Linked DNA regions of Caenorhabditis elegans. The protein of the gene in region 4 purifies or fractionates together with the protein of the main gene of each other region. This does not show direct contact. Each region holds a gene or a part of one and is shown on either strand. Other genes may lie near its edges.

What was found.
Region 1: the proteins of ttr-6 (region 4) and Y105E8A.11 fractionate together in Caenorhabditis elegans (co-fractionation; one large-scale study listed by BioGRID). This does not show direct contact.
Region 2: the proteins of ttr-6 (region 4) and ZK154.1 fractionate together in Caenorhabditis elegans (co-fractionation; one large-scale study listed by BioGRID). This does not show direct contact.
Region 3: the proteins of ttr-6 (region 4) and bbln-1 fractionate together in Caenorhabditis elegans (co-fractionation; one large-scale study listed by BioGRID). This does not show direct contact.

What each region holds. Positions count from the first base shown.
Region 1 is NC_003279.8:14,429,057-14,436,708, reverse strand, and holds Y105E8A.11 (BolA-like protein 3), read right to left. Parts: upstream 3,919-7,652; 5' UTR 3,917-3,918; coding exon 3,745-3,916; intron 3,188-3,744; coding exon 3,039-3,187; 3' UTR 2,959-3,038; downstream 1-2,958. Other genes in the region: hpo-13 (Non-lysosomal glucosylceramidase), read right to left, coding at 5,026-5,290, 6,275-6,730.
Region 2 is NC_003284.9:7,775,428-7,783,192, reverse strand, and holds ZK154.1 (Apple domain-containing protein), read right to left. Parts: upstream 3,617-7,765; 5' UTR 3,568-3,616; coding exon 3,469-3,567; intron 3,400-3,468; coding exon 3,216-3,399; intron 3,115-3,215; coding exon 3,009-3,114; intron 2,960-3,008; coding exon 2,866-2,959; intron 2,820-2,865; coding exon 2,673-2,819; 3' UTR 2,586-2,672; downstream 1-2,585. Other genes in the region: ZK154.4 (uncharacterized protein), read left to right, coding at 783-912, 1,567-1,718, 1,777-1,851, 2,503-2,580, 5,545-5,625, 5,819-5,914; mec-7 (Tubulin beta-1 chain), read left to right, coding at 6,627-6,683, 6,739-6,866, 6,988-7,642, 7,690-7,765.
Region 3 is NC_003284.9:3,148,263-3,156,020, forward strand, and holds bbln-1 (Bublin coiled-coil protein), read right to left. Parts: upstream 4,200-7,758; 5' UTR 4,191-4,199; coding exon 4,058-4,190; intron 4,008-4,057; coding exon 3,859-4,007; intron 3,339-3,858; coding exon 3,243-3,338; 3' UTR 2,886-3,242; downstream 1-2,885. UniProt on the Caenorhabditis elegans protein: Dynamic component of the endotube in intestinal cells, interacts with intermediate filament and regulates intestinal lumen morphology.
Region 4 is NC_003284.9:6,593,846-6,601,192, forward strand, and holds ttr-6 (Transthyretin-like family protein), read right to left. Parts: upstream 3,277-7,347; 5' UTR 3,273-3,276; coding exon 3,192-3,272; intron 3,135-3,191; coding exon 3,062-3,134; intron 2,997-3,061; coding exon 2,725-2,996; 3' UTR 2,580-2,724; downstream 1-2,579. Other genes in the region: fbxl-4 (F-box domain-containing protein), read left to right, coding at 1-128, 813-1,182, 1,745-1,903, 1,959-2,151; hic-1 (Lens fiber membrane intrinsic protein), read right to left, coding at 4,201-4,308, 4,355-4,493, 4,552-4,717, 4,766-4,856.

The DNA.
Region 1 (7,652 bases), on a different chromosome or scaffold from region 4:
ATTTTTCAGTGTTTACAGATCAATTTTGAGTCCTCTTACTGCAAAATTGCCCATTTTAGAGGAGTTTCAAAGTTGTGATTTTTTGCCAGAAATTGGCCATTTTTGCCACTTTTTAATAGTTTTTGACGGACTAAACCTAGATTTTCTGAATTCTACATATATAAATTACCCGTTTTCAACAAATTTAGACAACTTTTTATTTTTGCCCGTTTTGATTTTTCAGCCATCTAATGACTGTCCTTTTTTTTATTTTGGGCAAAAAAATAATTGTCCTGAAAATGTTCAAGGCCACTATATTCTGAAAAGGGGCAATTTTTCAGTGTTTACAGATCAATTTTGAGTCCTCTTACTGCAAAATTGCCCATTTTAGAGGAGTTTCAAAGTTGTGATTTTTTGCCAGAAATTGGCCATTTTTGCCACTTTTTAATAGTTTTTGACGGACTAAACCTAGATTTTCTGAATTCTACATATATAAATTACCCGTTTTCAACAAATTTAGACAACTTTTTATTTTTGCCCATTTTGATTTTTCAGCCATCTGTCCTTTTTTTTTATTTTGGGCAAAAAATAATTTTTCTAAAAATGTTCAAAACCACTATATACTATAAAAAAGGAAATTTTCAGTGTTTACAGATCAATTTTGAGTCCTCTAACTACAAAATTGCCCATTTTAGATGTGTTTCAAAGTTGTGAATTTTTGCCATAAATTGCTCATTTTTGCCACTTTCTAATGGTTTTTCATGGGTTAAACCTAGATTTTCTGAATTCAACATACATGAATTACCCGTTTTCAACAAATTTAGACAACTTTTTATTTTTGCCCAAATTTTTTTTCAGCCATCTAGTGTGCAAATACTCCGAGCTCGACGAAAAATCCGTCGTAAGTAATTACAAGCTGCTTCCAATGCCTTGCTCAATGTGAGCAAACCTGCACACACGCCCAGCTCTAATTAACGTATCTTGCCGATTATCCGGCAGCAGGTGTCCTCATTATGTTTTCCTATGGCTACCCCTACCTCGTCTCCATTTCCAATTCTCCGTTTACCCCCAAAATCTCTACAAAATGCACTACAAATCATGGATCGCGTGGATTTGTAAGCCATTTTTTCCCCTTTCGATTATCAATTTTTTGATCCCAAATTCTTTTGCAGATTCTACTTCTCATTCGTCTCACAAAAGTGCAAAAATCTGGCAATAGCTCAGAATATGAAAGGATCCAGTATAAACGTGATATTTGTCCCGAGAGTGGAACCGATTATCCACATTACTGTCAGATTAGCAGACGGAAGTGTTGCTTTTTTCTATGCTGATGAGCGACTTGATGAAGACGGAATCACTGAAAAACTTTCAAATACTTTCTCAATACGCTACCCAAATGGATTAAGTTCGACGTCTGTCTGAAAAATGGAAAACTCTAAAAATTGAATTAAAAGTGCTCATTAATCATTTCCAAGCATTATTTCATCTATCAAAGATTCAAAAGCTAAATCCCGGCGAGCCTAGATCGGAATCGATTTATCCAGCATTTGATGGGATTAAGATAGAAGTATTCGAATTATCTTTATGTAGACCCCTTCCCTACTTTGTCTGGAAACGAGAATTCGGAAATTTTCTAGATACTGTCCAGAAGATACATATCAAGTGCAGGGATACTTCTTATGACAGCAATTCTCACATGCGGAAGGTATTATTGGAAAATCACGATTGTGTAGAGTTCCTTAGAATGGAAACTTCGTTATTATGGATTACAAACTCCACTATTATAAAACTAAACTACCAAATTAAAGCCCATCTCTTAAATGAGTTCTTCAAACACTGGATTCATGGATCAAACCCAAGGATGAAACTTTTCGAGGCTCTCATTGAAACTAGACACTTGAAATTGAAAAAGTATATTCAAAAAGTATTCAGTGGTATCAAGTACAAAGGAAAATTGTCTTTCAAGCGAATCAATGGAGTTATTGAGAATCAAATATCTATTGAAGGTTTTGACGGAAAACTCGCAACAATTGACATAAACATCAATGTTCGGAGGATTTTAATGCAAATGTCTGTGCAGTTTTAATTTTGATACTATTGTAAGGATACCCACCCTTTTCACTTCACATTTTACATAAATAAATACTAATTTATTTGCCTGTAAATTCTCTCTGATAATTTACAGAAAGAACGGACGAAATCGGTCAAGGACAACGATTTCTACAGCGAGGACAATTCGTGTGGAGGAGAAACTCCAGTTCAAACCGCCGCCAAGCTGTCGTTGGTCGCATTGTCGCGTCGAGACCCGTCGTCGTTAAAGGCTGCGCCTTTAACCCGGAAATGCCTATATAAGGAGAGGAGGACGCTCATTTGTCATCATTTCTTAACTCTTTGACCCGTTACTTGTCGTTTTCCCTTTTCTCTCGTTTACTCTGTTTCGACGATGCAATTCGTCTGTTCCCTTTTACTTAATAAACCCTTATAAGATCGATCAGTGTGCGTGAGTGGCAGTTACATCCTATACCTTTATTCTATTAATAAAATAATTCTATTGATTTGATTTATTACCGATTAAACTCGTGATGAAATAAAATAAGAGTTGTATTGTATAAAGACATGGATAAACTAAATACATAATGTTGTACAAAAACAGTATTAAACATTCTTAGAACTATTATATTCTGACTATTTTTTGTTCAGATCGAAATTTACAGGCTTATCTTCTAGTCCGCCCTTTTTAAGACTTCACACAATTCAGGCCTATATTTCGCAAAATTCAGCAAAAAAACTGGCGTCATGGTGCATCGACTATCGATTTTTCGTAATTTTCAGCCATTTCTAACCCATTTTTCAGATATTTTCCCCTTTCTCCCAATATTTTATCTCATGTGCATCGAATCCATTGGTAAATGATCTCCTGATTAGCGCGCGCGAATTTCGATTTTTTTGCAAAAAAAGAGATCTACAATATTCAAAAAGTTCGAATTTAAAATATTCTTTACGATATTATGTCCTTTGAACTAATCAATAACTAGACAAAAAAAATCGATAATTAGTATCTAGGCGGCTTTTGTCTTGATCGTGAGCCCATGCATATCCTTAATCTGCTCCCGGAGAATGGAGGTGACCTGTTTGTGTTGAGCAACTTTCGATTTTCCCTTGAAACCGGCGGCTTCAACGACCACGTCGAACATTGATCCGCAGCCATCTGTAATATGGAGCTTGTAGTTTGTAGTGTATAGTTTGTAGTTTGTAGGGTATATTTTGGAGTTTGTAGTTAGTTTTGTATAGTTTGGAATTTATAGTGTACATTTTATAGTTTGTAGTGTTTAGCTTGTAGTTGGTCGTATACAATTTGTAGTTTGTAGTGTATAGATAGTAGTTTGTGGATATATTTTGTAGTTTGTAGTGTATGGTTTGTAGTTAGTGTTGTATAATTTGGAATTTATAGTGTACATTTTATAGTTTGTAGTGTATAGTTTATAGTTTGTAGTGTTTGGCTTGCAGTTTATATTTCGTAGTTTGTAGTTTGTAGTTTATAGTATACAGTAACTAACTTGTTTTTCATTATTTCTACCATTAATTTTGTGAGCGGAACAAAAAAATCATGAATGAATACCCCACGTATAGACTACAAACTACAAATATTAGTCTGATTATACTAGTTTATAGTATGTCTATTGTAGTTTGTAGTGTGATTATTGTAGTTTGTAGTGTATATTTTGTAGTCTGTAGTATGCCTATTGTAGTTTGTAGCGTACTCACTAGAAACATCGTGAACCTCGACACGAGTACATCCATCAATTCCCTCAGTGAGCAACTTGCTCATTTTCAGCTCGGCTTCTGACATTTTGTGCTCTCCACCACAACATGCCGAGTGACGCCTGATTGCTGAGGAGAGGAGGCCTGATCTCAGTGGGGTGGCAAGGCGGAGCATCTGAAATTTCGAGAAATGATAGCTTTTTTTTCGATTTTTTTCAGATTTGGAGAGAAAAAAAAACAAGAAATTTCACATTTAAACAAAAAATTTGTTATTTTTTCAAATTCTCGAGGTTTTTATAAATTCTGAAAAATGCCGAAAATTCGTAATTTTAGCTTTTTTAGTTTAAAAATTAGAAAAAAAATTGAAATTTTCGAAAAAAAATCAATAAATGTTCTATTATATATTATTATTATATATTTTATATATTATTAAATATTATTATATTATTATATACTATTATATATTATATAATAAATGTTACATTTGTTCTATTTTTCAAAAAAGTAATTAAATTTTTTTTTTTCGAAAAAATTTTCAAAAAATTCAAACTTTTTTAAAGATTTTCTAGAATTCAACTTCGACAAAAATTCGTAATATTTGAAAATTCCAAAAAATTACCAGAAAATGCTTTAAAAGTTAAAATATTTATCTAGTTAATTAGAAAGTATTCCTTTAGCGAAATATTCAAAAAAAACTTTTTTTAATCAAATTTTTCAAATTTTACATTCAAAAAGTCACCTGCAATGCATAATTTACATTACATGAAATTGAATTTTTTTGATTTTTTTCCCAATTATTAAGCTTTTAAAAATTAGCTTAAAAATACAGATTGTCAACATTTTTCAGAATTTTTTTGTTGAAAAAATGCGAATTTTCTCAAAAAAAAAAATCAGTTTCAAAATTGTGAAAAAAAAATTCTAAATGGTTTTTTTTTAAATTTAAGCTTCCGTGATTACTATAACATTTTCAAAAAATTGAGGAAAAAATTCAAAAAATGTTTTTAATTTTTCAAAAAAAAAAGCTCATCCTAAAAAACACCGTAATTAGCTAACTTTTTCAAGAAATTCAAATTTTTTTTCCAAAAAAAAAAAAAAAGGCAAATAGCATAAATTGATATCCTAAATGGACAACAGAAAATATAAAAATCAGAAAAAATTTTTCAAAAAAATACTTGTATTGCATTGTAAAAACGTCATTGCACAATCGAAAATTCGAAAAATAAAAGACCACGTAAAATACAAAAAATCGGGAAAATATCCAAAAAAATCAGTTAAAAAGTACAATTATCGTAGTGTAGCAATCTTTGGAATACTCCTCTCATCATGATAATCACTAACATATCCTAAACTCGAACCATCTTCACTTGTATCCCCTAATATTCGTTGTTTCTGTACTTGAATTGCTGCTTCGGATTCCGGAACAACTTTTTCATTTTTCACCAAATTCGGCAATTTTTCTTCACTCGTATTCATTCCACAATGCTTTTTTAGTGACCATTGCATTGCCCAAATCGATAGAGGACGCATGTAACCAATGGCTCGGTAGAATCTGAAATTCGGATATTTTAGGATTAATTTTTGGGATTTTTTAAAGAAAAAATGTTTGGAAATAAAAAAAAAATTCCAAAATTATTGTTTTTTTGGATATGAATTTTTTGTTTCTATTTTTAAAAATAAATTTCCATTTTTTGGAATTAGTTTTATGAATTTTTGCTTTTTTGAATATCCAAATTTTTCTGGAATCAAAAAAAAAAAAGTTTTAATGTTTTTTTTTAATTTTTTGTAAAGTTTCAAACTTTTTTTTTTGGGATTACGAGTATTTTTGGAAGTTTGAAAAAATAATTTTTGATTTTTTTGGATTTTTTTCTAATTTTTGAATTTTTTTTGGGATTTTTTTTAGAAATGTGTGGAAAATTTTTTTTTTTTTTTTTTGGAAAAATCTATTAAAAAAAACAAATTTCAGTTTTTTTTTTCAACAAATTTCTTTTCCTCACAATTTTTTCGATTTTCAGTTTTTCGAGTTCAAAATTCGGGAAATTTAAATTTATCGTTTAATGTTTTATAAAACGTATTATATGAACACTAAATATGCGTGTTGCACAACACATTTAACGCGCAAAAAATATCTCGTAGCGACAACTATAGTAATTCTTTAAAATGCTACTGTACTGCTTATGTGGATTTACGGTAATAATTTATTTCACGATCAAATATGACTTACGAAAACTCGAAAAAAAAATTCAATCCGAAAATCGAGCCCGTAAATCGACATTAAGAAGTTACTGTAGTTTTCGCTATGAGATATATATATATACGCATTCTCAGAATTTAGTGTTCCCGTAATCATATATACATATACATATACATATATACATATACATACATATACATATACATATACATATGCATATGCATATACATATACATATACATATACATATACAAATACATATATATATATATATATACATATAGGACTGCTCCATACTACAAACTAGATAGTTTCTTCTTGAATTTTCAACATCTCACTCACTTCGATTCATAAAGTGCTTCAGGCGTCTGATATTGTAGTCCAGTCTCCTCAAAACATGTCAGATAACTCCCCGACGCCGTATGAAACGCCTTTTCCACTTCTCCCTGTTGAATAAGTAACGATGCAACTGCATAAGTAACACCCGTCCACATTTCATCAGCCTGAATGTACTCCCGATCTACGACTCCTGACGGTTTCATTCCATTTACTGCACCCATTCGTCCGTTTCCAAATTTACACACATTCAATCGATAAATCGTATCCAACGCTGATCGGACCATATGATTCGGGAGAAGCTCGTCGGCTAGTTCAGGAGATACTGATTGAAGGAACCAATAACCACATAGTTGATCAGCCATCACTGTTTCTCTACTACGGGATCGCTCACAGAATCGGAAGTAGGTTCCTGTCCATAGAGTGTCGATGAATACCTTTTTCGCTTTTTCGAGAGTATTCCTGAAAAAAAAAATGATAAAGTAATGTATAAAAATCGAAATATTTTCCGATTTTCCGATTTTCTAAATTTTCGTTTAAAAACTTCATTCGCAAATGAAAGAAAAATTGCAAAAAAATTCACGTGTTGTCAGGTGTTGTCCCATATCGGTTTGATCTACAAAAAATGCGGGAATTCAGACGTAGACTTCTCAACTGATTTCGCATGCCGACGTCACATTTCTTTGTGGAGAAATTCCCGCATTTTTTGTAGATCAAACCTTTATGGGACAACCTGACACCACGTGAAAATTTAAATTTGAGTTTTTTTTTAAAGTTATGGTGTTTTTCAGAGAAAATCAAAAAATCGGAAAAATGGAAAAATTTTAATTATAAAATTGACGTTTTCCGATAAAATTAACTTAAATGTTTGAATTTGTTTCATTTTTATGATTTTACAACGAAAAAGTCCGTAAAAATTGGTGAAAATAAAGATTTTAGCTTGGAAATTTCAATTTGGTGAGGCTAAAACTTTGTAGTTTGTAGTCTGAGCCTCAACCAATACGTTTTTTTTTCGGTTTTTGAGCATTTTTCCATTAAACTCAACTTATTTTGATAAATCTCTTGTTGTTCTTCAATTTTTTTTAAATTTTCTAACAAAAAAAAACAACAAAAAAAAACGATTGGTTGAGACTATCACTACAAACTACAAAATTGTAGCCTCACCAAACGAATTGTTATGCTCAATTTTAAAGTTTCAGCCTATTTTTACGATTTTTTAAAAACTTTTTCGAGGAAAACGCCGAAAATCATGTAAATTTCCGTCGAAAACGCTCAAAAACACAAGAAAACTTTTGGTTGAGGCTCCGACTACAAACTACAACTTCGCTCAGCCTCACCAAACTCGGGTGTCAAGCAAAAACCGTCATTTTTAACCAATTTTCTT
Region 2 (7,765 bases), 1.2 Mb from region 4:
TTTAAAAAGTTTATACTTTTACACTGATAGTTGTTTTTGTGTGAAAAATGAGTAAAATCAGAAATGAAGTGTGGTGACACGATGGATCACAAGAATTTTCATCTTAATCGGGATCCCCTCTACGAACGCAAAAATCGGAGTAGCGAAAAAAAACTAGCATGGAGTGTAGAACAGTAAAATTGAGAAGATCAAACGATAAGCCAGCTACACATAACACAGTGGAATAATGCGAATTTCAAAGTTTGCTTCTAATGAACATTTCAATATTTTTCCAAAAGTTCAGTATTTGCTGATGGCTAAGCCTGCAATAATTAGAGTTTGAATCTGTTGTGAGTATATTAGTTACTCTTCCTCCTTTTCCTTTAACTCTCGGTTTTTGCAATTTTTGTTAAGTTTATACACCTGTGTGTTCTAAAATTGAACAAAATCTCACATACTCCTTCAAATAAACAATTGGTTTTCTGTGATGACAACTCCAAATCAATAACTGATGTGAGCCTCACCCAACAGCCTCATGACTACTCGTTATCCATCTACCTCTCCCGTTTGGTGTTACTAGTACACTGTGAGAGTATTTGCGGTCAATGTGCCCCATTTGACGACCATTGTCTGCGTCTCTTCTTTCTTGCCATTGTATCACTGGCGTTTTTTCACCGTTTCTGCTATTGGGCACTGAGAGTTCTTGTGGACTCTCACGGTTTTCCACAATATTTGTCGTTTCCACTTGCGCTTCTTCTCCTCTTCCATTTTCCATGGAATAGATACAATCTATGCGAGTTTAGATGTCAATTGTTCGGGCAGTATACGTGTCGACGATGCGTCTCCTTCAATTGATTATTGCTTTTATTCGGAATTTGTGCAATGGGAATCGCAACAAAAAGCGCATGGATGTGGATGACTTGCCGTTTGAGGGTAAGCTTTTCATTAAAAATTTTGAAAATAAAAACTGAAGTGTTAACGTTGAAAATGTTGCCAAAAGTGGCAAAGCTTCTAATGTGGTGCAGGAATAAAAGAAGATAAATACAAAGAGCTCTTAAAATTGAATTTTCTTTTATGGGTTGCTGTCTTCCGATACCGTTTGTTACTTGAAGTCTTGACATCAAGACCAGCCACAAAAAGAATTGCAATTTTTCACATATGCTTTTCTTTTTTTTTGCTATTAAGATTTTAAATCAAAAAGCCGTTATTGAATGTGATTTTAAGCGTTGTCAATATTTTTGGCGCTACAGTTCAAGAGGTAAAGCTTTACCAGCATACGAAGAAAACATTGCTGCCTGGGTGTCAGAACAAAATTCAATAGGAGACCCCCTTAAACTCCTGTTTTTTTTAAATAATTGTATACACCAAGTATAGTAAGGATGTTCAATTTGTGTGAAAAGTATATGGAGCGATTGAAATAAACTGGGTTTTTTTCCGGGTTGAGCAAAGTTATTGTTTTATTTTTTCTTTTTTTTCTCTGTTTTGCATAGTAGAAACAAGTAGAATATATATTTTTCATTTTAAAATCAAACCGCAGCCTAAAAGGTCAGGCTAAAAGAAAAGCACCACTTTTATAAAGTTTTTCAGTGGTCGTCGACAACGGTCGTACAGAAAGGAAAGGTGAAGAACGAGCATCACTGCTTCAAAATGAAGTCACCGATTCGTGGGGAGACGATGACTGGGATAAAAAGGAAGAAGTGAACGACAAAATTGAGCAATGGAGAAACAGTAATGCTCAGGTGAATTCAAAAGCAGGCACAATACATACAATCTATACCGTGTTTTATTTAATTTCAGAAACCGGACACCCACACCAAACCAGATGACGACTTGTTTAGCACACTAGAGCCAACTATTACCAGCGCCAGAAAAGTATGTATTTTAAAGAAAAAAAACGTTAGTCTCAATTATATTGATGAAAAATCAATTCAATAAAATTAAAAATGTGAGAATAATAAATTCCACACGAATACTAAAATTGAATGTGAAACAGCATGCTAACTAGTTTGTAATATTTTCAATATTAAATCAAAATTTTGCCATTTGTTGCTTCGCTCTTGTCACTTCTCAATAAAGTCTACCAAATTGTATTGTAGCAATTGTTTTTCAGAACTCGTTAAACGTTATAGTTTAAATAGTATATTTTACACTTTTTTTGGAACATTTGATAATTATCAACTTTGTTTAAAACTTCATCTAGACAGAAACTAAAAACAAAAAATTCAAGGCAGAAGATTTCTAGTAATTTTGCAAACCACGTTTAATTAGAACTTGTCTAGTTCTCTTTTTTATAAATTCCGCATTTTAAATGTTTTCGTTTGGTAGTTTGAATCATAATCCCAGCAAGAGGAAAACATGTAGCATTCAATTTTTTCCCTTGCAAATTAGTCTCTGAAAATACAAACCAACTGAACTGAAGAAGTATTTGTACTGTGAAAATTGCAACGCAAAATAATTGTTTTTACAATGCATTCTGATATTAAAAATACTTTTTCCAAACTGGGAAAATTAATTTCTTTCCAGGTTGTCTTGGCCCCACGAGGCGGGTTCCGTGATACGGCTCCCAAGAAAAGCAGATTTGACTTTAACGAAGCAAATGTGGTGAGTTTGGGTTGGTTTATATATTTATTAGGATGTCAAAACAAACAATGTTTATACATAAATAAGAGGTACGCTGTAGATGAGATAACTAGTTAATTGAGGAGCTTCTTGTTGAGAAAATCGTCTTCATTTTTCACTTCCGTCGGTGCTTCTGTCGTTGTGACGCCGTTCTCATTAGCAGCCTTATCAAGCTTTCCCTTGATTACATTGAATCTCTTCTTTTCGAATTCACTCATCTCCTGTAACATGGAATAGTAAGAACAGTTAACTATATTAATGAATTACATCAATTTTGCAATGATCCCTTTCTGATTGATATTGGCAAACTTCAATTGTTACATCAACACGGGAGCTTCCGTCGCGTTCCATTTTAACGTCACTAAAAAGTGATTGTTATAGAAAATGCTAGTTAACTAGAGAATGCTTACCGAATGTAGTGGTTTGGTGCCAACACCGGATTGGTTCTGATGGATGGACCAAGGACGGAAATGGATTCGGTGTCTCTCCAGATACACTTTTCACGACCGCTGCTGTCTGCAAAACGCAACATTTTGGTCGTGTTAATCTTGCGATGGCAGCTAGTTTTTGAGTTTCTCGCCGATGTGAGTCTTAGTCACTTGTTACATTATCCTCACCTGTCTCCACTCTAGTAGCCAATGAAGCGCAACACAAAACCATCAAGGATTTCGAGTTGAGGAGAAGGCCAGAAACGAAAGTGCGACGTCCGCGGAAAGTGGAGAACGACGTATGTTCATTACATTGCTTGCGCCATTCGCATTGCACCGCACACGTATATGGGATGAATTTGGCACAGATCGCCTAAATTGCTGGCTTTTAGAAGAGTTTGATAATTAGAAAATTCTTAGAAGTATGAAAATTCTGACTTACATTTGTGGACTCGTATGAGAATAATTTCTGGCCAACATAACATTGAACTGCCGAATAGACAACAGTAGGAAGAAGACACGCTATTACCAATTTCAGCATGGTTCTGAAAAAAGCTTTTGAAATATGTGGTTATCTTGAATCCGATGGCAATTGAAAGAAGAAAAAAATGCAAACAGAATGGCAGAATGGGACGGGTTTGTAAATGAAATGAAGTTGGAAAAAGGGGGGGGGGGGGTGGAGATTCGTGAGATTCAAATCTTGCAATCTTTCACAAAAGGTGAATTCGTGAATTTGTGAAATAAAGGCGTGAATGATAGGGGAAAAGTGATTGTTATCCCGGTTTGGGTGTCTGGCCGGACGGGCATTCTTCAAACATCAAGCGATAAGACTAGTTTCCAGCTTCAGTGATATAGAACTGATTATACTACTAACGCGCGTTAGCTACTGTTTAGTTTGGCTAAGGTCGAGGTCAAGGAAAACTGGATCTTTAATTGCATCTTGGGACAAATACTTTTTTGTCCAGTGAGCCTGATTGTGTTAATATAGTTTAATAAAATTTTAGTGTAATGGCATCCGAGCAGATTTCACGCGCAGAAAAATATGAAGTGAATGGCGGATTATGAAGAAGTGAAGGGCTTCTCTGTGAACCTTAGAACCTGTTTCCGATGGCCGCGAGTTGTGCCCGCCCCTCATCATATCTGAATTTAACCTTTCATGGCCGCCCGTTTCGTAAACGTAAACATGCGCAGCAAAAGATAAGGATAGAAAGTGAATACAGATTCAAAAATGTGAAATCGAATGGCAAGTATCTTATCGTATAGTATTTTTCGTTTAACGAGGAACTAACAAGCCACCAAAAAAGCGGTATTTTTTATCTGGCATTCAGCTGGGGGTGGAGAACGTCATGAAATTACGTTAGGTACGCAACATGTATGACCATTTTACACGGTTGTACTATAGATGTTCTAAGAAAATTTGTATTGTAATATGTCATGAAAAATTCAGATAAGATAATTTGATGAACATACATTTCACGACGTTGAGCTTTTGATACATGGCTTTCAATTAAAGTTAAGCGCAAATTGCGTTCCAAACAGTATAGTAAATTTCAAAAAAATACCAAATTGAGGATTACATTCTAATTGAGAAAACAAGTTATTTAGTTTTTTATTCGATAAAGAAACGAAACAATTGTTCATGACGCTGCAAATGTTTGGAATGAAGTTAATTTTTGTTTTTTCTAATGCAACCAACTGCTCTCATTATTATTTCTTCTAACCGTATTGCACCCTACTACTTGACTTTTAACAGTTATCCTTCTGCTAACTTTAAATTAAAACCTGAAACAGATTGAACAATCTGTTTCAGGTTTCAAAAGCATTTTTTCATGAACGGATTAGTGCTGATATGTGAACAATCATAAACGGTACAATTTGATTTACTGTGGGCTTTTGAAGAGAGGAGATATACAAAAAAACATTGCTAGGAAGAAATCACCAATTCGATTTACAATATATATATATGGTCAACCTAAACGTAAAACATTGAATATTATAAAATCAAAATTAATTCACGATGGACCGTTTTTGAACATAACTTTTACAAGCTTCATCATGACAATGATAATATGACGATCTTATGATTTTGCTTTCACAGTGTGCGAGGAAACGAGTAAACAGAATAACGAAAGAAGAACAATATACTCGTTCTGCTAATCAGTGTAGTCGGTATTCGATTGTTCTCCTCCCCTAATTTTTTCCACGGAGAGTCCTGTTGAGAATGGATTCTTCAGCTAGCTTCAACAGCTTCTCCTTCTTCTTCTTGTCTTGTGTCTGTTTCTACTTCTCTATCTAGTTGTTCGTCAACTTTTTATGAATAGCCGCCAATCGGTCGGGACGGCGGCGCAAATTGCGGGAAAGAGATGCCGGGGACGCGCTTGACTCTTTTTTTTTCTCGCGCGTTCACAAGATTTCTGGGCGATGGAAGAGGAGACAAAAATTCTAATGACAAAAGGTGTCGCTGTGGTGATGCAGGAAAAAGACAAGAAAACCTGATTGCAATCCATTTTTTTTTCAGGGAGCTACGCCGACACTTGGAGATATCGATGATGATCTTCTCGGATGGGGTGATGACGATTTGGATAGCACCTTGAAAGAGGTATGTACTTTAGAAAATAGTTTTGAAAAAATATTACCTATTATCAAAAAAAATTCCGTTCGTCGTTTAGCCAATGATGTATGAAATTTTAAGCAAAGAAATTGATACTCAAGACAGCTCGCTGATTAGAAAAAAAAAACAAAAATTATGTAGTAATCTAGAAATGTAAACCTGTCATTTCTGTGTATTTCAGCACCGCGAAGAGCACCATAAACAGCTACAACAAGAGCACGAACGTCGGCTCCAACAGAAAAAGCTGCAAAACGCTGGTACTCACCACATGCTCTGATAATTGCCATTTCCTTCGATTTCTGACTTTCAATTGTGATATGATAACCTCAAAATCTCCATTCAAAATGAAAACTCTTAAATTTAAGAGCTTTCAACACCCCGCACTTTCCCACCTCATCGTTTTTCCCTTCTATCTTATCAATTTTTTGTATTTTGTGTCAGTTTGCTATATCCTCATCACCTTTTTTACCGTTTAATCTCTCTATAGTATTGTTCGGGTGTTTCAAGATGAAACGTTTTGTGTGTAGCATTTTTGAAACACAGCGCGAAAAATGCAGAAACTATCATCCACAATGCATTAAGTGCACTCATTGTGATGACTCCTAACCCCCTCGCCCCACCAGTTGTCTCTTCACAAATTCATGGCACAATTCAAAAATGGCTTTTTGTGTTGGATCTTGATCTCGTCTCTTTCCTTCTTCTTTCGTTTCTCTCGGACCACTCATTATTCGAATGCCATGCATTTGTTGATGATGCGCAGCGATGGTCGCACACACTACAACAGATATGATGGTGGCTGTGCGTGGTGCAGAGCTCATGAATAAGTGATGGGGCACCGAGATGTGACTCCTCCCATTATTCGTCTTGAGTCGCATCTTTTGTCTTGGTCCGTTGTCAGTCGAGCCTCAAGGCAGCCGTTCCGCCAGTGATCGCCTGCTAAGAAGTTGTAGGTGTAGAGGAAGAAACGTCGGGTCCAAATTTCAAGCAACATGCGCGAGATCGTTCATATTCAAGCCGGACAATGCGGTAATCAAATCGGTTCGAAGGTTAGTATTTTCAGTTATAATGTTCCTAGTTGTGCTTTATGCCAAGCAATTTCAGTTCTGGGAGGTAATATCCGATGAACACGGCATTGACCCATCTGGCCAGTATGTGGGAGACTCTGATCTTCAACTCGAAAGAATCAACGTCTACTATAATGAGGCCGGAAGCAACAAATATGTTCCAAGGTATAGATATAGTTTGTTTTGTCATAATTTTTCATGAAATTATTTTTTGATCTAGACGTTTTCCATGATTTTTGACATATACCGATTTTGTCCACCGTTTACCTAACTGTATGTTTTTCAGAGCTGTCCTTGTTGACTTGGAGCCAGGAACCATGGATTCTGTCCGTTCTGGACCATTCGGACAACTTTTCCGTCCAGACAATTACGTATTTGGTCAAAGCGGTGCTGGAAACAATTGGGCCAAAGGACACTACACCGAGGGAGCAGAACTTGTAGACAATGTTCTTGACGTTGTCAGAAAAGAAGCAGAAAGCACAGATTGCCTTCAAGGATTTCAACTTACTCACTCACTTGGAGGAGGTACTGGATCTGGAATGGGAACCCTTCTCATTTCAAAAATTCGCGAGGAATATCCTGACCGGATAATGAACACCTTCTCGGTAGTTCCAAGTCCAAAAGTATCCGACACTGTAGTCGAACCCTACAATGCCACCCTCTCTGTCCACCAGCTTGTCGAGAACACCGACTCGACGTTCTGCATTGATAATGAGGCCTTGTATGACATCTGTTTCCGCACTCTGAAACTGACGACACCGACATATGGAGACCTTAACCATCTGGTCAGTGCCACAATGAGCGGCGTCACTACTTGCCTCCGCTTCCCTGGTCAACTCAATGCGGATCTACGAAAGTTGGCAGTGAACATGGTTCCATTCCCACGTCTTCACTTCTTCATGCCAGGATTCGCACCACTGACTAGCAGAAGCAATCAGCAGGTTTGAATAATGAAAAAAAAACAACTTTGTGATAACTTAGTTTTTAGTATCGTGCCATTACTGTCCCTGAGCTGACCCAACAATGTTTCGACGCAAAGAACATGATGGCTGCATGCGATCCAA
Region 3 (7,758 bases), 3.4 Mb from region 4:
ACACAGCAAATCCTCTTTAGGGAGAAAATAGGCTATTTCTACTTTTAGTTACTCTGCTTTTTATGATTTTAGAGATTGGTTGAGGTGAAATATCACACATCACCAAATAAAATATATATTTCTAAAACTAACTGAAAAGCTAGCAATTGAAGTATGCTACATAGAGGTGCGCCGGAATTGCTGAAACCGCCGATTGTCGAAAATTTTAGAAGTTGCTTTTTTCTATAAAATAACATTAACTCTATAAAATAACAATATATTCACTTGCTCGCAAAATTTCTACTGGTAAATTTAGTTGTAAATTTAGTTGAGCCAGAACATACGCTCCGTGAGTACACAGAGTCGTGGAAACAATTTCCACCTCATTTTTCTACAATTTTCCGTGGAACTGTAGTCGTACTAAAAAACAATCGATCAGATGTCCCCCATATTTTCAAGCCAACTTTACTTGTTTTCCTGGTAAGTGTAGCGTGGATGTAACCCAACATAAAAAAATTCAGTGTTCAGTTTTAAAAAGAACTTAAAATAATTTATTGTGAGCTAGTGTTACTTCAGCCTTTAATTTTTCCAGAAAATCATTGGAAATTTATTTGGAAATTTAGTCCAAAATGTGCTACCAAAGGCCTAAATTTTGCACTCTAAAAATTTATAAATTACGTAAAAAAAACTATAGAACGTTTCTAGCGTAAAGTTTTAATTTTCAGATCTACAAATAAACAATCTTTTAAAAAGTCACAAAATTGATTATACTGTTCACAGTTCAGGCAATCATTTTGATAATTATCTTTGACCTGTATTAGGATATCATGTTCCGTGAATATGATAAAATATTTTAGTTTTTGTCCTATCATCATTGATGAATTAACACTACGGGTTTTATCACATGAAAATCAAAGTGCACTGGCCTTCGATCCCCATATTATTATCAAAGAAGCAAATATTGTTGTAAATTCAATTTTCAAGGGTTATCTCATTTGATGAACCTAAGGGTATATGACTTGATGATTTTTTTTTGTGATACAAACCCTGTACTTAACAAGAAACATTATTAGTTACAAAAGGAGTAACGCTTCTGGGTATTTTGAAATTGTAGCCCCAAAACTTGCTCAAATGAACGAATTAACTATATTCTCCAATTTTAATCATTTTGTGTGTTGCAGCGGTTCGAAATTGATTTGTTGTTGTGAACTATTTTTCAAAATTTTTTATAGACTTTTTGGGAAGTTTCACTATGAAATTCGTTCATTTGAGCACTACCAAGCCTTAGTTTTGTGTAGATACCATTTTCATAATTGCCAAAAAAGAAAATCCCATTAAAAAAATCCCACTGATCGTTCAAATCTTCAATCCGCAACTGTTGGCTTCTCGAAGTCTAAGACAATGCTCACAATCGGATTTGTATCAAAGTAAAATAGATTATAGCGGTTTATTTCTGGATGGACTTAGATTCGAAAAAGATTATTCGGCTTGAAACGTGCGGCCCTGTATTGACTGAGAACGATTATCGTCTGCTTTGTTTTAATCATGAGGATTTGGAGTTTATAAGCAATGCAGCTTTCAGAATGAATTGAATTTCTTTTTTTTTTCTTAAAAGAGAAATGTTAGTAAAGGGGGTGAATGTTTTGCTTTTTCCATAACTTTTTGTATATTTTCGCCAAAATTAAAATATTTTCACTTTTTTCTTACACGCTTAATGTAAGGCTAAATAAGTTGTAACACTATACCAATAAACACATAAAACCAGCCTTATCACAAACTCTGAAAAAAAATGGAATGTCTGAGAAAGTTGAGTCATAATATGAAACTAACCAGACAACATCAATCTTTTTTCCTTTTTCACAGGCAATTTTACCAACCAGACATCCAAAAAGGACAAAGTGTCTACTTGAAATATCTACAAAGAAACTTCTAGCGTCCTAGAGATCAACAACTGGATGTTGTAGAAAGCAAATCATTTCTAAAAAACGAACACAAGTTCGGGATATTGTCAACACTTTACCCGTGTACAGGTGTTTTCAGAAGGGCAGATGCCGGTTCTGATATCCACGTGAATTCACCTTTTGGGTGTCAGATGTTTCTTGGAGTGTTTTCTAAACTTACGACATCGTCTAGACAGATTTATTTGTCTTGGATTTATTTTTGCGAAGAAAATTGGAAAAATGTCTGTGGTGTGTAGTGGAGAAGGAGGGAGTACAAACCTGGAAAAGAAAGCAAAAATAATTTTGGAAAGGGAAGTTTGATGATTGTAGAAATTGAATTGAAATTTTCAAACTCAAAAATTTACAGTTCAGGTTCAGTTTTGGTTCATAATTTTCGGAATTAATTATCCTTAACGGTGGAGTAACGCCAGTGGGAAAACTTCTTCACAACATGTCTATGGCTTTACAGTGCCAAAATATCATAGTTTAAAAGCTCAATTGAAAGGCATTTTTTGAAAATTGGAAAAACCTCGGTTTTTGCCAATTTTTTGGAAATCGTCGATCAGAAAACTGTTCCTTTGAATTTTAAAAAACAAACACTGTAGAAATCTGGAAATGGAACAGAGCTATAGTTTTCTCAAAAAGTGTTTCATTCAATTCCACCTTGTTAAGTAAGCTTTAGCTTTAGTTAGCTGAGTAAGCTCTGAGAATTTTTTTGAATTTTTTCCAATCAAGTTTTTTCATTGAGCTTCCAAAGTACATTTATTTTTCACAAATTTGCATGATTATTTTCATTTCAACGCCAAACGATCAGATAAACAAACTTGAATATCAAACTTTTACGGACTACAAATATCACTACGCATTCTTGCGGAAGGATCAAGATATCATAGATCCCTTCCAAGAACAAGAGTTCATTCTGACTCTTATCAATGTGTATACGGCATTGACAACGGTGTTCCTGAACAACAATAACCTTTTATTCTAAACATCATCTCAATGCGGTGCCACATGGAACGCGGCGTTGACTTTATTTCCAAACATATTTGCATTGAATTCGGCGAACGATCAAAGCTTGAAAAGAAAAAGTTAATAGTTAAGTGGTTAAGTGGTGGAGAGCGGGGGACAGGGGACAGGAAAAAAATAAGGAAGTTCGATTAAAAAAAGTGAATGAAAAATATAGAGAACGAGGAACCAAATCATTTTCCAACAGTTCGTATCGAAACAGCTTTAAGGTTAAAAATGTGAATGATTTGAGGATGTTGTTGGTATGAAAGTAATACATTAAATAGTGTACATGTACCAATTGAAAAGCATTCTGGTTTATTTTTCGGTGCGTTTGACAGATTGAACTCTCTTCAGGATGCTGCTCATTTGCTTTTTGAACTCCTCATCTTCAGATTGATTTTGGGACATACGCTGCAAAAAAATACCGGTTACTCATTTTTTTTTTTGCAAAATGTTCTGCGATGTTTAGTTGTTTAACTTTCAAAACTGCAGTTCCCACGGTTTCATTCATTCAAAAAACTTTTTTACTATGTCTAAACTTTCAGGGTGTTTTAGTAAATTTTTGTTATGTTTCACGTGAGAAAATACGTGGCTTTCTAAAATTTGTTTTCGAGGTTTGAAAGTATGGATGTTTGGACTTTAACCCTAAGTTGCAAATGATAAGGGAATGAAAACATTTGATTTAGTGATTGTGCAGTGAATCTTGTAAGATTTGGTCTTACTAAGATTTGATTTTACTTTTGTAAAACTCTTACCCACTTCAAAATAGACACAGAAAAAGTTTTGTCTAAAGTTTTTCAAAAGCTAGGTGAAACTGAATAGTTTAAACTACGTCTTGCGCAACTCTTGCTCAACTCTTGCCAAACTCTTGCAAAAAGCTAGAAGAGCGAAATAGAGGTGCTTTTATCTTTCCAAATTAAAATATTCTTACCTCGTGGAAGCTGCGACGTCTCTTTTCGCGCTCTTCCTTCTGCTGCTTCAACGTCTCCATCATTCTGTCGTTGTGTGCCTTCAGACGCTCTTCCATCTTAGACATGTAGTCATTAAGATGATCAAGCTGGGTGTCCAGCTTGCGAATTTCTGAAAAAAACCAATGCTATAAGTAATCTGAATCTGAGAAGAGTTTTCACCTTCCGTCTCCTCGGTCACTTCTCCTTCGTTGAGTGCCTCAATTCCACGAGCCAACGCAGAATGTGCAGCAGCGTTGACATTGCGGTCGCGCATCTTGACAATAGGCTCTTGCTCTTTCTGCTCAACGACCATTGTGTTCAACTGAAATGAGGAAATGGAGAAAAAGACGATGAATTATGTCGTTGTAGGCGAGCACACATTGACGACAGAATGAGTAACTTATGCAAAGTTTGTAAAAATTAATTAGGTAATTTGGTTGGAGATGGGTGATGATGATGGTGATGATGTAATGCATGTATCAAGATAAAAAATGCAGGAAAAAAAGAGACAACAGCAATATCGAAATTTTATATTGCAATAAGGGGGTCTAATAAAATGGAATGAAGGGTAGGGTAAGGCATATGTCAAGGGTGCTGGTGAACGTTTTTTTTTCTGGGATGCCACCTTTTGAATCCGGTCTTTGGGAGGAGAACTACAACAAACCAGCGAGGACAGGGAGGCAAAGGAGGAAAATGCGACGCCTATGAAAATTGTTATCTTTTCGAATTAGAGTCAACGTAAATGCCACACAGTTCTCCTCACTTTTGATCAAGGCGTAGCAGTTTGAGAATTCAGTGGCCTGGGGTGACAGAAATGAATTATAAATTATGACAAAGTCAAATAAAACTGCCTCCGCAAATCAAAAAAAAAAGAAAGAAAAAGAAACTTAAATTTTGAAACTAAGTACGTATTTGTATTAACACTTGCCTCCTCCTCCTCTTCAATTCACCTATGACTCAAACCGGTAGACATTGGTGAAATAGAAACATTCAACAAATACCTGGAGAAAGCCCCACTAGTTGTGTGATGACTAAACAGCATGAACAATTAGAACGTATAATTTAAGAAAAATAGAAAATCGTACAGTTTCGTTAGAAGAGAAATGACCGACGGCGGGCGTCGCCGAGTTATCAGCCAACAATTACACTTTTGATGGTGATTTAAGATAAGGCGTGGTTATGGAGCCTGTACTGACTGACCTGTGTGTGTTGTACGCTTCACTTTTATAACCCTTTATGCCGATTTCAGTGGTGATAAGGAAGCGTATGGAGAACTGAAGAGATTATGCAAAAGTTTGATGGCGAAAAGAGAATAGGAAGAAAATACTGTTATGGTTTTTACGGTGCAACTGAGACTGAAATTTCAAATTTTGAATCATGTTCAACTCGGTATAATCTGATAATAAGTGCTAGAAAATGTCGTGATTTTATTAAAGTGCAAGAAAAGTAAAGAAGTGTATGATTCTTGATTTCGAAATACTGCCCAAATGCAATGTGTTATTTTTGGGTTTTTTTTCGTTTTCCGCAATTTTTCCACGCTTTGAAATGTATGTTAATATATAATTAATTCACATTTTAGTATTTTAAATTTTAGATTTTAAAAATTCTCGCTATTGTTAAGTTTGAAAAACGACATATTTCATAAAAATGACTACAAATGTGAACAGACCTGGTATAAGTTCACTTCACTTTTAAAAAAGAACTAACGGAGTATTTTCTCGTAATAGTCTCAAAATGCGCTAAGATGAAACAATTTTTTATGAAAATTTCTAGAAAGTTTTTAAAATTTTCTAAAAATCGTTGCAAAGTTTTGAAAAAATTATGCTACTATCCTAAAATTTTCCAACTTTTCCGTCGCGCACCGGTTGGAAATTGATGTTTTCCAAATTCTAGTCTTTCATTTCATATTTTGATTGTTCATCCTACGTTATTTTGCTGATTGAAATACGTTCAATGCTGATAGGAGACCAAAATGACAAAAATTGATCACCTATTGGCTAAAAGTTAACTTATTATTCCAAACTTATTCCAAGAAATAACGTGAGTGAAAATACCAAAATATGCAATAAGAAATTACCATTCAAAAACGTTAACTTTCGACTGCTGCGTCAGGGAAAATTGGTCAAAATTGGAGATTTTGCCTAAAATTAGGGATTTTTTGCAAAATTTTGAACCACTTTTGAACAAATGGAAAAAAAATTTGAAAAAAAAAGTTATAAGACGGAATTCGTACATTTGAGTTCATTTTTGGTGTATACGTTTGAAATACAAATGTGATTTTAAAAAATTACTACACATGGGAAACATACTAAAAATATATGGTCACTGCACTTTTAAACTACTAAAATTCAAAAGTGAAGCAGCTTGAAAAAGTTAACTAAGTGATTAATCAAAATGTTTTTGCATCGTTTTTTAATGTAAGAAGTGAATAACAAAATAAAATCACAATCTACAACCGTAATACTAAGATCACTGTGCGCCATAAATTTACTTGGTAATGTTTTTCCTTCACGCCTGGCGCAATGTTTAATCTATCGATCACTCTGATAGTTCGACACTTGGTCGACATAGACCGGAAGAGCATAAAACTTCCTTTTACCATTCCTAGTTACGTCAGATGATTTTATTGGGGCGAGACATGACGCTTCTTCTTCATTTTTTTTTTAGCTACTTACCCTGTTAAAAATCGAAGTCAAGCGGTGACAAAAACACAATTTTGTGAACATGGGCAAAGGAAAGAATTAGGCAACCAAAAAAAACAGTGAACAGGAGACTTGATTTCGGGGACGACGCGGCGCGACTGGTGTGCTCAGCATAACATGAAAACGAGACAGGGAGTGCCCCTCGATGCTTACCGTTGAGCTCATCTTTTGATGGAGAGAAACAGTGGGCGGACAAGGTTTGCCTCCGTCATTAGTCATTTTGCCCTTGTTGGCAAATATGGTTTTTGACTAGGGGCGAATTTTTTCGTTTTTTTCTCCTTCAAATTTCACAACCTAAAATTTAGTTGGCGGAAATTTGATCTAGATTGAGTAGTGCCTGGTTAAAAGATTGAACAAAAGGACAAGAGTGAATCAAAACATTACATTGGGTGTGGCACTTGTGTGAATGAATAAGAATATATCTCGTTGCCATCTTCAATTCTTGACGCCCTAATACTTAATACCGAATGCGCTAAATGCCAAGGACAAACCGAAAAATGCAAAAAAAAAAGAAATTCGAGGACGCAGAAGAAATGCGATGGTTCCAGAAACTACTGGAAAATCGAAAGTGAAATGAAAAAGAAGAGGGGTTCAATTGAAGTATTATTATTAGTTTGTGAAAGCGAAATTTCTGTTCTTTCAGTTTCGTACCAACCAGTTCAAACTGTATAGTATAGAACTTTGATTACGTCACCATTTACTCTCCGCTTTATGAAAAACGATAAGCAGTGCTTTTGAATATTCGGAAAACAAAATCGCCGTTTTACCTAAATCGTACACATTTCATGACCGTTGGTTTATACGTCAGTGATAGTACTGTTCAAGTATCTGTTGGTTTTGATAAGCAAGTGTACCGAAAAATTTTGAATAGTGCGTTTCGGGATAATATTGAAAATAAATAAGAAGTTTCTGTTGGAAACTGGGGTTTTTTTTACGTAGAGACTCAAAGTGTGCTCAAATGAACAAATTTCGCAATGCAACTTTTCAAAATTTTTTCAAAATTTTTTAATGATGGTTCGAACATTCAAAAAAAAATCGCCTAATTTTAGCTAAAATCTCCAAATTTCTGCAATTTTTTTTGTGAAGATAAATTTAAAGCCGTTAGGTAATTATTTTTAGTCACCTATCGGCATTAAATGTATCTTACTTATAGAAATAACGTGAAATACCGAATTATGC
Region 4 (7,347 bases):
AATTTCATCAAACTGTGCTCATCTGGAATGCCTGTGTGTAAACTATTGCCCAAAAGTAACTGGATCTTGTTTGAAACTAGTACTTCAGAGATGCAGGAAACTGAAGACGCTATTTCTTGCTCACACAAGTAAGTAAGATGGCATTCTGTGAATTTCCTATCAGATTTATTTATTAAATTTATCATATCTATCAGATTATTAGATTTGATACCTCTATTAGAATTTAGTTAATACTAGAGGTGAACTCACTCGGTCACTAGAAGCAATTGGAAACATCATGTTTTAACATGGTTTTATTTTTTATTGTTTATTGAGAACTGATAGTCTTTTTAATAATTAAAAAGTTAAATTTCAAAAAGATATTTTTGATTGAAGAATAACTATCCTTTCTTTTGAAATAATTTATTGAAAAGTAGTTTTATTGGACTGAAATTGCATGCAATACTTATAGGGAAAATACAAAATTCAAAAGTTTGAAGAATTAAAAAAATACTGAAGACCACGAAATGCACATTTTTCTTCATTTAATAGTAATCCCTTTTATTTGAAGGGAATTGTCAAAAATAACAATTTTCAAAAACATTTGAAAATAGTTTTGCGTAAGTTGTTGGAACATGTTAGTAAATTCAATTGAAACTCAAATAATTTCCTATTTTAGCCTAAACTAGCCTCAAAATAGCCCCAAAAGACCGAATATTTTAATAACACTTTAAAAACAAATAAATTAAACTTTTTATTTCAGATTTTTACAAAATTTGGTAGTATTGGGTCATTTTGGACCAATTTAAGCAGAAAAAACTCTACAATTTTAGAACTCGACAACAACATTGTCAAAATGGTGGACTGGGAGAAAACACGCATTGAAGAGCTTGACATAAAAGGTACCGAACTAAATTCCGACGCGCTTATCTCAATTCTCACTCGGCTCCCTCATCTTCGTTGGTTGGACGCCAGTTGGTTGGAATGCATGACTGATCAAGTATTGGAAGCATGGCAGAACTCAAATGCAATGGGAAGCCTGCAGTTCTTGAACATGGATACATGTGATTCGATCAATGAACAAGCGCTTGTTGACATGATCAAAAGACACGGGCACCAATTCCACGGACTTTGTCTGGGAGGACAACACAAACTTCTTGAGTATTTTTGGATGAATATGATCCCACAATTGAGAAACATTAGGTAGGATGTAAACAAGAAAATACACAGCGCATCACATCAAACACCAGAAATGATATTAGAAAAGTTTATTGAAAACTGAAAATCGGTGACCGTAAAAATCAGAGAAGAAAACGTTAATTTTTCATTGAAAGTAGTTGTATTTCAAAGTGTAAAAAGTGTAACTCAAATGATCTTATAAAGATGACCTTCAAATGTCCTTGAAAATTTTAATAGATTCTAACTACTGTATTTCAGGTCACTTTAAGATTTCCGAAAAAAATGAGTGTTTTGAAGAAGAAGAACGCTCAATTAGATTTCATTACAGAATTTAGAAATAAGAAAAGCACTGAACCACAAAAGACCAATTTGAAAAAGGAGAAAAAAGTACACTGAATTTTTTCTGATCAGTTTTTTTCTGATTCAAAGTGCCGCTAAATTTTTTGTAGCAACCTATTTAAAAGGTCCTTTTTCAAATGACATAATTTGCTTTAAAAAAATACTAAATAATAGCAAGTAGTTGTTATGGTAATACACTTCAAAATTGTACCGGAGTATGAAAGGAAGCGCTACAGAAACATTTCAGAGTAATGGTTATGGGAATAGCTGAAGACTGCTGCCCAAAAGTGGTTGCAAAAATCCATGTTGATCAATTCGTCGACTGTATCGCTCAGAATTGTCCAAGACTGACCCGTCTTGAAGTGAGATGGGACGATGAAACTCTTAGATTCTCAGACAAATCGAGGTAAAATACATCAAGATTGAAAACTATAATCTTCAATAAAGCTAAGTTGTTCCAGTAAATTCATTGACGTGCTCCGTATGAAATGTCTCATGCTTCATTCAATTGTTCTTTCCGATGGGCAATACTATGAACTGGTGCGTAGCAACTTTGAGAGGGCAGATCGAATGTCGGTTGTTAGGACAACAGAAATGTGCCGTACTGGACTACTTCATTGCTCCAGATACTTCAATAAACTTCTCTTTAACTGAACACTCTCACTTTTATCCTTTTTTATGAGTTTTAAAATTGTATGTTTAAAATTTTTATTTTCGATGATGCATAGGTCAAATTTATATGTATATGTAACTGTGATTTCATGCTGATTATTACAATAAAATGATACAACTTAATCTTTAAAAAAATCCAAATTGAATAGAAAATAAATCAAATCGACATATATTTTGCGCAGAAAAACAGTTTTATTAACTAATAAGGAAAAACTAACTAACATTTCTTTATCTCCTTTTCAGTTTACCTGAGTGAGCCAACATAGAAATTAATTATCTTGCAAACTACTTTTTTGAAAGCAGAGCAGACATTTCGATTTCTAGAGTAATGGTGATGGGTTTCTGAACTATGATGCTTGAAACGTAGTAGCAAAAACCCACGTTGAACAACTATCATCTTTTAAAGTTTTAAAGTTGTATGTTTAAATTATTATTCGTTTTTGATGATAGGTCAAATTCATAAATATGTAACTTTGATTTCAAGCAGAATATTACAATAAAATGTTACAATTTATTACAAAAGCCTATAAGTCAATAGAAGAATAAGACAAAAATTTAGTGAATACAGTCACGGCTCTCTCCTGGGTATGATCCGGCAAGTTGAATAACTCCAGCGTCATAAACCTTCTTTGGGACCTTTCCTGACGAGGTGTAAGAATCTGGGATCTTGATTCCAAACTTTCTCTGGCATGGCTTAATTCCGTCATTGCAGTCGTGGTAGATGTTCAGCTTGACGTCAATTGGGGTATATTCCTTAGTCCATCCGGCAAGGTGGAAGTCTCCATTTCCATCCGTGGTTCCAGAATCGAGAAGATCATCAGAATCCACTAAAATTTTAAATTATAGATATTCTTATTTACAAGTGTGCAATTAAGTACGATTAATAACTCACAAGTATCCTTATCCCACAGTTTTACCAAAACTCCAGAAGCTGGTCGACCATCACAAATCAACTTTCCACGAACCTGAAAACAAACTTTAAATTAAATACTAATAAATTAAATAATTGTCAAAAAACTTACAGCAGAAGACTGATCGCGACCAAACATTTCGATGGAGGCAGCAACGCCGAAAAGTGCACAAACAATAAGAACTGAACGCATATCTGTAATATTCACAATTTACTAAAATAGAAGAATGAAAAGATAATCGAGAGCTGTTAGTTACAGGACGTGAAGAATCTGTTGGACAATTACACAGAATGAGGAAGAGAAGGGTCCTAAGGGGCGTCTCCTCCATCTGCCTGCCAGTGTTTTCAATGTTCTTTTTATGTGGGTCCACGGTGTATTATGGCGGGATCCCGAGGACAGCTGCTCGTCACATTAGACACAGAAAACAGAAGAGACGATGAATCAGAGTCAAGGAATCAATGTATACGACATCATGAGTCAGCTGAAGAGCTCATGAAACTATTCTTCACGTCAGTTTTTTTCTAAATGGAATTGAGTAGTGCCCGAGTCATAAAATGAGTCATACCTATCAGAAATGACGTCAGAAAAACAAAACAAAAGGTACAAAGTATTCATTTTTTGGAACATCAAAATTGCGAAATTAAACCGTTTTCCAGAAAGTTAGTAATGCACGTTTGAAACAGTATCTCACAAGATCCTATTAAGCTGGTGCATTCAAAAGTCGGGTAACTCAGTCCTTCGATGTTTTTGGGTAAATTTCCTAATATTTCTTTTTGGTCCGTATGAAAAAAATTTCATACGATTTAATAACTATCATCAAAAGTGAACTCATGATACGTAACTTTAATTTATAGCAGGTAACAAGTAGACATAAACACATGATGCTTTTCTTTGTTGAACATTTTTCGATTGTATTCCTATTTTTATGTTGAATGTATTTTGATAATATATAAAAATATCAATTAAAAACGGATTCCTTTGTGGGCCGTACAATAAATTTTTATTTCAAACTCAAAGTTTTCCATTGATTAGACGAATTCAACTGAGCTTGTACAATTGTCAATACTGTTTATTTTGTCATGAATAAAGCTTTTGCGTTAAGTATGTTCAAGTTAAGTATTTATCGGTATTCCGAGTATGCTCCATATCCAGTTGCACTTCCAGATACTAGTAGTAAAAGAAATGAAAGAATTGTAGCAGCCAAAGTGATTCCCCATGACCATCCGAGCTGAACAATCACACTTTTAAAAAATTGAATTTCAAAACTAATTTACCTTTAACGAAATCAATGCGTTGTAATAGAAGCTTCCAATATTTGCCGCGAATACAATGATGGAAATAAGAAGTAAAATGAATATGATCAAGGAGAGAAGAGTACACGCTGCATGAACCGGCATCATTCTTCGGAAAACTCTGTAAAGTAAAATGATATAAGTTGTCTTCAATTTCACTTGTCTTAAACTTTACTTACATTGCAGGTATGACAAGAAGACAAAACAAGAGCTCAAATGAGAATGCCATTAATTGACAAACCACGACACATTGCAGCCACCCCGCACTTCTTTGGAAACTTCTGTTCGCGCCTGCCTGTCCCCATTGATAAATTCCCATGTGCAAGTTTCCAGAAACACCCCAATCTAGGAATAAATTTCGCATTTCAGGGAACGACAATTTGCCAAACTTACAATTTGTAAAAGTTCCCACTCCGGTTAGTATTGTAACAATAATCAGAAGGCCAGCAATGGCGAATGGTGCGTGATGGTGATGATGATGCATTTTGTGACTGAAATTAACATTTTTTAACCGGAAAAATACTTACAGAAAAGATAAAAAAGATATAACAGGTAGATCAAATTATACTTACGTCATTGTGAAATAGTTCAGAGTAGTTTGTGGTTTGAAACTTTTTACGTAACTTGAGAAAACAGAAACTAAAAAATCGTAGGCATCCTGAGCTAATTTCATTTATTTTGTGGCAACCCACTCGGATTCGTAAAAACTTTAGGACATCATTCGATTTTATGTAATTTAGGAAACGTGCAAGAACATGTTTTCTGAACAAGTAAAAAATAGAAAGCATTTTTTGAAGTCAGATAATCATTTTTCATGCTTATATAGTGTACAGCGGTTCAACTCGACTTTGTGAGATGTTTATCTGGAGTGAGTCTAGTGGCTTTCGATAGAATTTTCTACCGGCATTTAAAAACGTCATTACTTGGTTACTTTAGTTTATCTAACTCCTTAGGTTAAGTTCGAAACAATCCTTACGATAGGATACAAACTAAATCTGTATAGAAATAAATGGGAAATAAATAGGAAAAAGCTTTTTTGGAATCTTTAACTGAAATTATTACTTGAAAAAAAATTATACTTTACAAAAAGCTCGATATACAAAGCTTTAAGTGTGACAGAAACTGCACAAAACTAAAATTCGACTATTTTTCTCGTCAAATAATAACAAAGATAGAAGATCATCCAAATGCCGACCTTTCCTGTTAGTTGACATTGGATAGACTGAACTATATTTCTTTTTGATCCACTATTTGAATATGATCCACAATTTTGAAATGTCCGCCTCTTTGTTTGTTCAGTGAAATCATAGTGATAGAGTTTTCGTGAAAAAAAAATCCTCGCCCTACAGTTTGCTCTCTCATGATTTACCATGTGTGAAACTTTAGTGTAAATTGTCGCGCAAGCTGAATGATTCACTTCATGAAATCGGTTTATTCATAAAAGTATACAACGACTTTATCGAAAAAGGTGACAATATGAAAGAGAGTTATGCATATTCATATTCAGAGTCGTGATTTCACAATTGATACAAATAAAAATGAACAATTTTAAGAAATATACTAACAGGTCAGAGGAAAAGATGACACAGACAAATGCCAAGTCACGAACTAAGAAATAAAGCATCACGCACGAGCATTTTACATCGTGAACTTCCAAGTGGCCATCGCTTCTGGAGGGAGCGACGATGAAGTGTAGCCCATATTGCTGTTGAGAAAGATTTGAACGGTTTCAAGTGATGTGCAAAGAATTGAGATGATTATGACCAGGACACTAACTAGGGAGTGTTTTAACTATGTGGTGCGATCGGGTAAAAGTAAACGTGTTATGCGATAGCTGGCGTTTTAGGCTTTCAGAATCTGTGATTTGTTTCGGCAGAAGACCTCTGTGAGTCTGGAAATTTTCATCTGAAAATGTAGTACTGAAATCAGTGCATTTCCTATGGTTAACAGTGGATTTTGTCTCTGGCGCCAACAGAAGTCTCACCACAATGGTGGAAGGGTGAAATCATCGCTTCGGTGGTCGAGTGGTGAACGCATTCGCCTCTTGAGCAAAAGTTTGTGGGTTCGGTTCCCACACATGGTTTAAATTTTGGCCTTTTTTTATACAAAATTTTTAGAACGGGAAACAAATGTTTAAAACAGTTTTTTGAGGTTTTTACATTACTTTTTTGCTTTTTGATTGAACCACAATTACCCTGGAAACTTTTCAGAAATTTTTATTTTTTCGAAAATTGCCACTTTTTTCTCCACCAAACTCCACCAAACCATGAGAAAATTGGTTCCAAAAATTTTTTTTGAAATTTTTTCAAAAATGTATGAAATATTGTAGAGTGTCACAAATAACTTATTTTTCATTGTTTTCAATGACCGAATCACTTATTCTGATGCCGTATCAAGACGTTTTACCAAATCGATATTGGCAAAACACCTTGTCTTTGAGACTCCATATCTCCGCAGGAAAAAATTGCGCTTAAAAGTGATCAACTGAAAACTTGTTAAACACAATGTGATCTAAAACTTTTCAGTTAAACACTTTTTTGTAAAAAATTTGGTTGCTGAGATATAGACCTTTAACTATTTAGAAAATTCAAAAATAATGAAGCTCAAATCAATTGGTTCCAACTCGGCAACCAAATTTTTTACAAAAAAGTGTTCAACTGAAAAGTTTTAGATCACATTGTGTTTAACAAGTTTTCAGTTGATCACTTTTAAGCGCAATTTTTTCCTGCGGAGATATGGAGTCTCAAAGACAAGGTGTTTTGCCAATATCGATTTGGTAAAACGTCTTGATACGGCATCAGAATAAGTGATTCGGTCATTGAAAACAATGAAAAATAAGTTATTTGTGACACTCTACAATATTTCATACATTTTTGAAAAAATTTCAAAAAAAATTTTTGGAACCAATGGTTTGGTGGAGTTTGGTGGAGAAAAAAGTGGCAATTTTCGAAAAAATAAAAATCTCTGAAAAGTTT